2 linked regions of the Caenorhabditis elegans genome follow. The protein of the gene in region 1 purifies or fractionates together with the protein of each later gene. This does not show direct contact. Each region holds a gene or a part of one and is shown on either strand. Other genes may lie near its edges.

The links. Proteins that work in one complex are often made in the same cells at the same time.
Region 2: the proteins of aex-4 (region 1) and Y82E9BR.18 purify together in Caenorhabditis elegans (affinity purification with mass spectrometry, with the first as the bait; one large-scale study listed by BioGRID). This does not show direct contact.

The regions. Positions count from the first base shown.
Region 1 is NC_003284.9:3,727,307-3,732,652, forward strand, and holds aex-4 (t-SNARE protein aex-4), read left to right. Parts: upstream 1-1,974; 5' UTR 1,975-2,084; coding exon 2,085-2,107; intron 2,108-2,155; coding exon 2,156-2,258; intron 2,259-2,877; coding exon 2,878-2,968; intron 2,969-3,019; coding exon 3,020-3,137; intron 3,138-3,191; coding exon 3,192-3,251; intron 3,252-3,322; coding exon 3,323-3,424; intron 3,425-4,214; coding exon 4,215-4,359; intron 4,360-4,450; coding exon 4,451-4,513; 3' UTR 4,514-4,655; downstream 4,656-5,346. Other genes in the region: nlp-1 (Neuropeptide-like protein 1), read left to right, coding at 287-403, 450-647, 713-871, 924-980; tag-18 (uncharacterized protein), read right to left, coding at 4,755-4,795, 4,841-4,974, 5,024-5,271. UniProt on the Caenorhabditis elegans protein: t-SNARE protein which regulates the secretion of aex-5 from intestinal cells. Involved in the defecation motor program, which is a coordinated series of three muscle contractions that occurs every 45 seconds.
Region 2 is NC_003281.10:1,480,446-1,485,587, forward strand, and holds the start of Y82E9BR.18 (Nuclear export mediator factor NEMF), read right to left. Parts: upstream 3,063-5,142; 5' UTR 3,033-3,062; coding exon 2,969-3,032; intron 1-2,968. Other genes in the region: Y82E9BR.19 (F-box domain-containing protein), read right to left, coding at 4,526-4,681.

The DNA of each region.
Region 1 (5,346 bases):
TTTCCTCTGTCCCATTTTCGTCATGCACGAACACCAAGAAACCGTAGTTCAGTTGTTCAGTTTTGTCTTGCATTTCCCAACGGCCCTATATTTTCAAAAAAAAAGGTTATTTCTTAGAAACCACTCAAAAGTCCAGCCCATTTTTTCTCCTCTAAAATTGCAAAAAATTGTCAATTTCTCAACACTCATAAGCCCCGCCTTCCACGATTTCGCATGGTTTTATGTTTTCCCTAAATTGTACTTTTCATATATTTCCTGACATTTCAGACATCAACTTGAGGCAACGATGAAAGCCACATTCGTGCTGGCATGTCTTCTTGTGATAGCTGCTGTTTCCCATGCCGATCTCCTACCAAAACGAATGGACGCAAATGCTTTCCGCATGTCGTTTGGCAAACGTAGCGTAAGTTTGACTTTTTTTTGAAACATTTCATGAAAATTAGCTTCAGGTATCCAATCCAGCAGAGGCAAAACGAATGGATCCAAACGCTTTCAGAATGTCCTTCGGGAAACGATCAGCCGAGCAGAATGAGCAAGCTAATAAGGAAGACAAAGCGACATCCGACAAGCTCTACGACGACACCAAATTTGAGGAGATGAAGCGCATGGACGCCAACGCTTTTCGCATGTCGTTTGGAAAACGCTCGGTACGTTGTCGTCGTCTTTCATTGCGACCCTAATTAGTGCTGGTGTCTAGTTGCTCTTTTTCCAGGATGCTCATCAAGCCGCCGATGATCAGGTCGAGTACGTGAATGATGACTTTTCACTCCCTGAGCAAAAACGTATGGATGCCAATGCGTTCCGCATGTCGTTTGGAAAACGAGTCAACTTGGATCCAAACAGCTTTCGAATGAGCTTTGGAAAGAGAAGTGTACGCAGAATCCGATCATCAACATTCCCCTAATATTCCATTTTTTTTTCAGACAGTCGGGTACAACTTGGACGCTCGGAACTACTTTGTCGGATTGGGACGTCGTTAAACTCCAGCGAACATCAAGCTACTTTCATCCCAATTGCTTCTTCTTAGTCCCAAATATGATAACACTCTTTCCATAAAATCGTTTTTGTGCAATAAATTGATTGTATGGGAAATACATCGAAGATCTTTTAGCTAATAAAATGTTACAAAAATTGCCGTTCAATAAGCTTATAGACCTTTCCAAAGAATACAATTATCAGTAAATGTTCCGCAACTGATGCTCCAAAACTGGATTTTAGGATTATAACGAAAACTTCTGACTGGCTCAGGTATCATGCTGCCGCTACAATTTTTTGCATTGTTCTCTAACATAAGACTAATGTCTGATATCTTGGTGAATATTAGACCTGTGAGAAAATAATTTAAAGCCATTCAAATTATGCTAAAAATGAACAAGTATCCCAACAAAATTTAATTTTGGAAATATTTTTTTCTTGTAAAAAAAATGGTCGACCTGATTTGCGCATTTTTTTGAGAAATCTGAATCACTGCCAAATATTCTAACCCTGCAATGTTTCAGTATGAATATTACACACTTCATTAATTGAACCCAAAACTGGACGAAATTTCGATTTTTTGAACGAAGACTTTAAAAAATTTTAGCAAATTCAGTTTTAACCAATTTTGACTAAAAACATTTTTCAAAATTTTTATTAATTTGGTCAATATAGGAATTTTTTTTAATATTATTTTCTCACATGCCGTAGTCCACTTTTAATCAGAATATCCACAGCAAAAAAGCATCTTCCTAACAGGATTAGTTATCAGCTGATATGCCGACGTGCACTTTGACAAAAAGTCAAGAAGTGACGATAGTGATAAAACACAAATGTAGGTCAATATGGTCACGACTGGAATGTGAAACATTATAGGGACAGAGTGTGTTAAGTTATGAAATTTTCCGTTTCCTCCGAATTTGATAACTGCGTTTATGTCGATCAACTCTGCGTCACTTTAGGGGGAGGACACAATTGAAATTCATTAATGGAATTTTTGATAAGAAACATGAGAGCCAAGTGTGATAACACCGTTTTCTTTTTTATTATCGATTTTGACACTGATTCCGTATTCTGAGAGTTTCATCAAAAATCAAAAAATTGCAAAAATGGCTAGAAAAACCATTGATTCGTAAGTTCTCTAAACTAATAAATAAATCATTACTCCAACTTTTTGCAGAATTCCAGAGCCAATTGCTCTTCCAACAGAAGAAACAGTTCAAAAGCGCATTAAACTGAAAATGGTGGATTTGGATGCAGAAATAGCGAAATTGAACGTACAAGTGCGTAATGTAATAAAACAAAAATCACATCATGCTCTTTCCGCTTCTGAATACATAATTGAGATGTCAAAAATGCCAGCTTGGAAATTGTTTCTTTTTTAGTAAAATCATTGACGTTTTTAGATGAAACCATAAATAATTGATTAGGAAAGAAACAAATTTTGGAAACATTAGTTAAAAATAGGGGTGCGCGGACATTTTCAAGCAAAATTAGTGATAGAATCTAGGGAATTTTCTCATTTATCAAAAAGTTTTTTCATTTCAGCTGAGAAATGTAGGGAAGCCACAAAAACTGTCGGTAAGCTGGAAGTTGCCTCCGTTTTTTTGGCAATTTTTCTCTTTTATGAAATTTTTCAGTGCCATCAAATGGGGTTTTTTAAAAATATTTTCCTAAAAATTTTCTATGAAGAATAGTTCTACTTAATGTCAAAAATGCATACTTTAGTGCATATTAAAATTCTTGTGAACACGTGGTTGTTTTGCCTTTGCTTGTTTTTATCTATATTTTTCAATCAACAAATTACGATGTTTCGTTAAAGACCACTAGAAATCATAAGAGTAAAAACTACTGTACCCGTGAGGTTACTGTAACAACCCTGCAATGTTTTGAAATTTTCAGAGTCTTGACAGTAGTATACAGATGATCCGAGATATCGATCAAATGAATGTAGATGCAGTCCAGACAACTGCTGCTCTTGAAGATCAAGACGGTTAGTTTGTAGGATGTTTCCAACAGCTACCTAACTCAGATGCTTTTTTAGAACAGCTTGACAAAATCGAGGCGAATCTCAGCAATGTCATCGATGATCTGAATGTTGTTTCACATAACATAACAGCAATGGAGCATTATTGCGGATGCGGCTTCTTTCGAATTCTCCGGTTGGTGACTTTCGAATAAATCGACACAAACACGGTAATAAAAATTGTTTTCAGCGCGCCATTCAAGTATTTTCGAAAACGAGAGCGTGACATCATAAAGGAAGAAGTATTAGAGTAAGCATAAACACACGCGGCTCTTATAGAGTGCTCTCGGTTGCATGGGAACACATTTATTAAATTTTCAGAAAAATGACGAGCCCAAAATTGCGACGTAAAGAGGAAAGTAACATGATGATGTTCACGAATTCCAGCAAGCGAAGGGAGTCTACCGGGGATTTTATGAAACGGTAGGTAGAATATTGGTTCAAACTTTATAATTTTAAACACGAGTGGTGCGAGTAATTTCCTTGATCTATTAGTGCTAATGGAAAATATTTTAGTTTCTGGACATTTTTTGCGAAAAACTTCTAGAAAACGGCAAGAAAAGGTAGATGTCTGTTTTTGGCATTGCATTATTGTCTTTAATGACGGAGAAACTTTTTTTGGAAACATTTTTTATTGTCCTATTTTTCCTATTAGAAATGCCCGTTGCCTTCTGCTTTACAGTGACAGCTTCCCTTTCAATGCTATTTAGTTTTATCAAAATCTAATCAAGCAACATTTTTCTCTATATTTCAGTAATAACAATTTTCGATTAAAACTTAAAACAACCGAGATATAAGAGTTTTCTTTAAAATGTATTATGGAAGTTCAAAAATTCCAAAAAAAAAATGAAATGTTCCTTCCATATTGCATGTTGCCAACTGAACCGCTGCTGAAAGCTGGTGCTTATAAATTTGAGAAATGTGAAAAAACAAATCATTTTGAAACTTGGTTTTTTAGATTACATAATAATTTATATTAAAAATTGCTATTTGCCCTTGCATGTTTTAACATTTTATGACGTCTACGTAACTTGATTTTCCATTTTCTAAGATTTTTTAGTCTTAACATATATTTTTGTGTTTTATATTTTAATTTTATATTTTAAGTTTTTAAAAATATTTAGAACATTCATACAGCCACGTCGTATGTCGCAGAAATGTAGATTACAGTTACATAATTAATTTTTTTTTTCAATTTCCGTAATTTTTTCAGTCTAACATGTGACGCAATAGAAGATGAGTTGGAACGAAACTTGATGCAGATTGATCAGGGACTTGAATCTGTCAAAAATTTGGCTGTTGATATGCACGTACAGCTAAAACTACAAGAACCAAAACTGAACAGGATAGAAGAATTGGTAAGTGATAACAGAACGGGATTATAGCGCCTGTGTTTTTATACTTTGCCCGGATAGTTATCAGTTTCTATTTTTGATATTTTTTTTCCAGACCGAAACAAATGATTTTGTCGTGGAGGGAGTCAATGATAAAGTGAAAAAACTACTTCACTGACTTCACAAAAAGTGTGGTGCGCGCATTCCACGGGCTACAAACACATGGGTAAACTGTACATTTTCAAATATTGTTGAAAACTTTTAATTTTTCAATTTTAAATTCAAACTTTATGTTTTAAGCAATAAAATGATGATTTAATCCGTTATACAAAGACATGGAAAAGTTACAGTTAGTTTTTTTTTTTAAGCGGTCGTTATTTATAGGGGTTCGTTTAATGGTGTCACATACTGCTTTGCGTTTAAGAGAAAGAGTAGAAGTAGCGATGAGCTCCATAGCGAGCTGAAATTAAAAGGTGATAGTCTGAAACAATTCAATTCAACTAACCGGCTGGCAGGTAAACATCTGACCAGTCCTTTCCACGACGTCCCAATGCGGTTGGCTCAATCCATTTTTTGTCCAGTGTTTTGAAATCAATGCATCCGTTTCTGTACAAATCAATTGCAGTCTTCACGTTCTTTCTGAAATTTTTCATATTTTTTCACCCCCTCCCACAAAACTGTTCAGTACGTGTCGTATTGCCATGGTCTCCAGCTATTCCAGAGTGGTCTGTCGTAGTTGGGATCGCGATAACGTCTCCAGTAAGTTGGGTTGAGCCAATCAGTGTACCACTTGTATCTCGACCAGAATGGAGCGTACTCGTGTCCCAAACTATGTGGGATCGGGTCCACATACAGTTGGCGACGGGCGGCAAAGCGGTAGGTTTGCCAGTAGAATGGAGTGTAGAACGTGTAACGATCAATGTTAGAGTCATCCAACTGAAAATTGTTTCTTTTTACTCACAACAATCTTTTGTATCTCATATTTTTTGTTTGTTGATAGAGGATTTTTAT
Region 2 (5,142 bases), on another chromosome or scaffold:
TCTTTGGTGACAACCTTTTTTTCAACTAGATTTTTATATGTATTTTTCAACTAATTTTTGTTCACATTTTTCTGGAATAAGATTTTTAATGCAATTTTCAATCGATTTTCGGTTATAATTCCCTCACAATTGAATGTATGAACGATGGTCTTTTGGGAAAAGCTGTAAAACGTCCAACTTCAGCTCCGAAGGATCACATGGGTACCTTCTGATGTTCTGATCCTTCAGATAAGAAGGATCGTAAGGGTACCTCCTGATGGTCTGATCCTTCAGATCCAAAGGATCATGAGGCTCTTCCTGATGTTCTGATCCTTCAGCTCCAAAAGAACATGAGGCTCTGCCTGATGATCTGATCTTTCAGAGCCGAATGATCACATGGGTACCTTCTGATGATCTGATCCTTCGGCTTCGACGGATCATATGGATTTTTGACAAAATTTGAAAAAAAAAATTTTGAAAAAAAACTCGAAATTTTTTTTGTTATTCTTCATTCTTTAAAGAATAGTTCAAATTTATCATGATAGGACCGAAAACTTTCAAGAAACAGTATAACTATACATGATAATCAGCTTCTACCAAATAATGATAAATTCTCCGCGATGACAAACTTTTGGGTGACAAAGTATCTTGGTGGACAAACAAAAATTACCGAAAACTGATGTAAGGAATAGTGAAATAGAGTCCTATGGACTATTAAACATGTTCAGTAGGTGTATTCAGGACTGTCCGTCAAAATAAAAAAAAGTTTGTCAGACGAAGTTCGAACCTGGGACCTGTAGGATGCAAAGTGCGCTCACTACCACTACACCAGCTATGCGAAAGTCGGCGAGCCTCATCGAAGGCTATTATAAAACTTAGTTCGCACGAGTATGATCGACATTCAACAAACAGTAATATCTCTCAACAAGAATTTCTTCATGGAATTGAGGTCATTTGACTATTTTTATCGGTTTTTCAAGTTGAGCATAGGGTCTTTTAATTTTTTGAGCATAGAAAATCATGAAAGCTGCCTGTTCCTTGTATCCTGGATCAAAATAGACGGATCTGGCCTAAAATATTTCCTGAAAAGTGATCATTTCATGTCCATCGTGTGTTTCTCTGTATTTTGAACCAGAAAGTTGAACAAAAATGATAATATTATATCGAAAAATGGAACAAATAAATTTTAGGCCTAATCAAATTTTTTCCGGATATTGTTTTTTTGTCATGATTATATGTTTTTAAATTTTTTATAATGTGTTTTATAATTAAATTCTTCATTATTTCCATCGTAATGTCCTTTTCGATGCAGAATTTGCATTAAATTTCATTGACAGTTTCGTGCGTCAAATAGGGTGCTTCATACGCAAACGCCAAAGTACGCAAACACCGACCGTATACCGTATTCATCGAAACGAATTAAATTTTTTGCAACATCTATTTTTCAGCTCGAACTGTTAAATTTTGCTTGAAATGAAGGAAATAATGACGAATTTTGTTATAAAACACATTATAAAAAATTTAAAAACATATAATCATGACAAAAAAACAATATCCGGAAAAAATTTGATTAGGCCTAAAATTTATTTGTTCCATTTTTCGATATAATATTATCATTTTTGTTCAACTTTCTGGTTCAAAATACAGAGAAACACACGATGGACATGAAATGATCACTTTTCAGGAAATATTTTAGGCCAGATACGTCTATTTTGATCCAGGATACAAGGAACAGGCAGCTTTCATGATTTTCTATGCTCAAAAAATTAAAAGACCCTATGCTCAACTTGAAAAACCGATAAAAATAGTCAAATGACCTCAATTCCATGAAGAAATTCTTGTTGAGAGATATTACTGTTTGTTGAATGTCGATCATACTCGTGCGAACTAAGTTTTATAATAGCCTTCGATGAGGCTCGCCGACTTTCGCATAGCTGGTGTAGTGGTAGTGAGCGCACTTTGCATCCTACAGGTCCCAGGTTCGAACTTCGTCTGACAAACTTTTTTTTATTTTGACGGACAGTCCTGAATACACCTACTGAACATGTTTAATAGTCCATAGGACTCTATTTCACTATTCCTTACATCAGTTTTCGGTAATTTTTGTTTGTCCACCAAGATACTTTGTCACCCAAAAGTTTGTCATCGCGGAGAATTTATCATTATTTGGTAGAAGCTGATTATCATGTATAGTTATACTGTTTCTTGAAAGTTTTCGGTCCTATCATGATAAATTTGAACTATTCTTTAAAGAATGAAGAATAACAAAAAAAATTTCGAGTTTTTTTTCAAAATTTTTTTTTTCAAATTTTGTCAAAAATCCATATGATCCGTCGAAGCCGAAGGATCAGATCATCAGAAGGTACCCATGTGATCATTCGGCTCTGAAAGATCAGATCATCAGGCAGAGCCTCATGTTCTTTTGGAGCTGAAGGATCAGAACATCAGGAAGAGCCTCATGATCCTTTGGATCTGAAGGATCAGACCATCAGGAGGTACCCTTACGATCCTTCTTATCTGAAGGATCAGAACATCAGAAGGTACCCATGTGATCCTTCGGAGCTGAAGTTGGACGTTTTACAGCTTTTCCCAAAAGACCATCGTTCATACATTCAATTGTGAGGGAATTATAACCGAAAATCGATTGAAAATTGCATTAAAAATCTTATTCCAGAAAAATGTGAACAAAAATTAGTTGAAAAATACATATAAAAATCTAGTTGAAAAAAAGGTTGTCACCAAAGATATGCCCCCCAAGATACACCCCAGTTTGTCTACTGGATCCTTTGTCTCCTTGGATACTATGCCCCCAAAGAACCTTTGCCACCAAAAAGTTTGTCATCTCGGAATGAAGGCCAAATTTCAATGAAAATTCCTATTTTTAGGGCTAAAAACTAGCGGAAAATTCGAAATTTTCAGTGAAAATCCCCCTGTTTTCGAGCTAAAAATGCACGGGAAATTCAATTTTCATCCTAAAAAAAAGCAGCACCTTCGAGCTTCTTGAGCTCCGTCGTCGCGGCGATCACATCGACCAAAGTGAATCGATTTTTCATATTTTTCCAGTTTTTGTGCTGAAAATTGGGCTGAAAATCGGAAAAAATTGGGCTAAAAATCGGAAAAAATTAGGCTGAAAATCGGTAAAAAAGTGGGTAAAAACCTCGAAAAATCGCCGAAAAAATCGGAAAAAAACGACAAAAAGTGCGGGAAATTTGAATTTTTCAGTGAAAAATTGGGGAAAATTCGAGAAATTGATGACAAAAAATACGCGTAACATTGGGAAAAGTGGTTGGTACCGGAGGCGAGAAAAAGCAGATTTTTACAAAAAAAAAAACATGAAAAATGGGTATTTTAGGTGAAAAACAGTGAGAAAACAGTGATTTTTAGCTAGAAAATGGGTATTTTTTGGTGGAAATTGAGTTAAAAACTCGGAAACTTTGACATTTTTCAGCTGAAAATATATGATTTTTGAGGTGAAAATCGCCAAAAAATCGGGGTTTTTGGGTGAAAAATTCAAATTTTTAGCTAAAAAATTAGCAAAAATGGGGGGTTTTGTGTAAAATTTCAGTCAAAAATTCGAATTTGAGGTGAAAAAACAGTGATTTTTAACAAAATTTACGTGGAAAATGGGGAAAAATGGATATTTCAGAGGTGAAAGTTGAGAAAAATTGGGAAATTTCAGAAAGGTTTCGGGTCGGAAAATGAAGAGAAAAAGAGGTTTTTTAGACGAAATTTGAGTGAAAAATGCGGAAATTTTCGAATTTTTCAGCTGAACATATGAAAAAATTCGAGAAAATTGAGATTTTTGGGGTGAAATTTCAGCCGAAAATCGAAATTTTTCGAAGAAAATTGGCAAAAATTCGACTGTTTGGACGAAAAATTCGAGTTTTAGGTGAAAATTACCAAAAAATTTTAAATTTTGGGTGAAAATATTCGAGGAGAATGGGATTTTTAGGCAAAATTCAGGCAAAAAACTGCGAAATTTCAGATTTTTCGGTATGAAAATTGGCAAAAATGCGACATTTTGGACAAAAATTCTAATTTTTAGCGAAAAATTTGAATATCAGGTGAAAATCGAAATTTTAATTGAAAAAGTGGCGTTTTTGTGCCAAAAAAAAAAAATGCTTTTTAGAGTGAAAATTACCCGAAAATTGAATTTTTTTTTTGGATGAAAAATAGAGATTTTAAGCAAAAATTGGCATCATTTCCAATTTTTCAGCCAAAAATTACGATTTTCCGGGGAAAATGGGCATTTTTAAAGAGAAATAGGGGAGGATTTTCCGGCTAAAAGTTGGATTTTTAAGTGAAAATGGGTGTTTTTTGAGAGAGAAAAATGAATAATTTAGGCGAAAATTGGCTGAAAAATGCCATTTTTTTAATGAGAATTTCGGGAAAAAATGGCAAATTTTCGGTTTTTTCAGATAAAAAAGCTCAAAATTTATGAGATTTTCAGGTGAAAGGTATGGGCATTTTTGAGAGAGAAAAATGAATAACTTAGAGGAAAAAGGGTAATTTTAAGGGGGAAAATGAGTGAAAAATCCGTGTTTTTTCAAGTATAAAAAGTGGAATTCAACGAGAATTTTGACAGAAATGGGAATTTCTTCATAAATTCCTCTCTTTTTCGGAGTTCTGCAGTCTCGTTGATCATCGATGATATCTCGTCGGCGGCGGTTATGAATGAATCGGCGGTGGCTCCGGCGGTTATCTGGAAAATTGACGGGTTTTTCGGGTGAAAATCGGGTGAAAAATCGATAAAATTCGGTAAAAATTGGAGGTTTTTCAGGTGAAAATCAATTTTCAAAAAAAAATTCAAAAAAATCCACCTTTTTGTGGAAAAACCAATAAAAAAGTTGCAAAAATTATATTAAAAACTCAAAAAAAAATTAGCGTTAAAAAACGATAGAAAAACTGAAAAATGTTGGTTTTTTCTCAGAAAATCTATAAAAACCTCAAAAAATTTTGGTTTTTTGTCCAAAAATTGGCAGAAAATTCCAAAACTTTTCGATTTTCAGAGTGAAAATCAATGAAAAATTCAAAAAAAAATCAACTTTTTCGAGTAAAAATCGATAAAATATGGAAAAATTATAGATTTTTTGCTCGGGGAAAATAGGGAAAATCCATAAATTTTATAACGTTTTTCAATAAAAAATGACATTTTCCCAACTT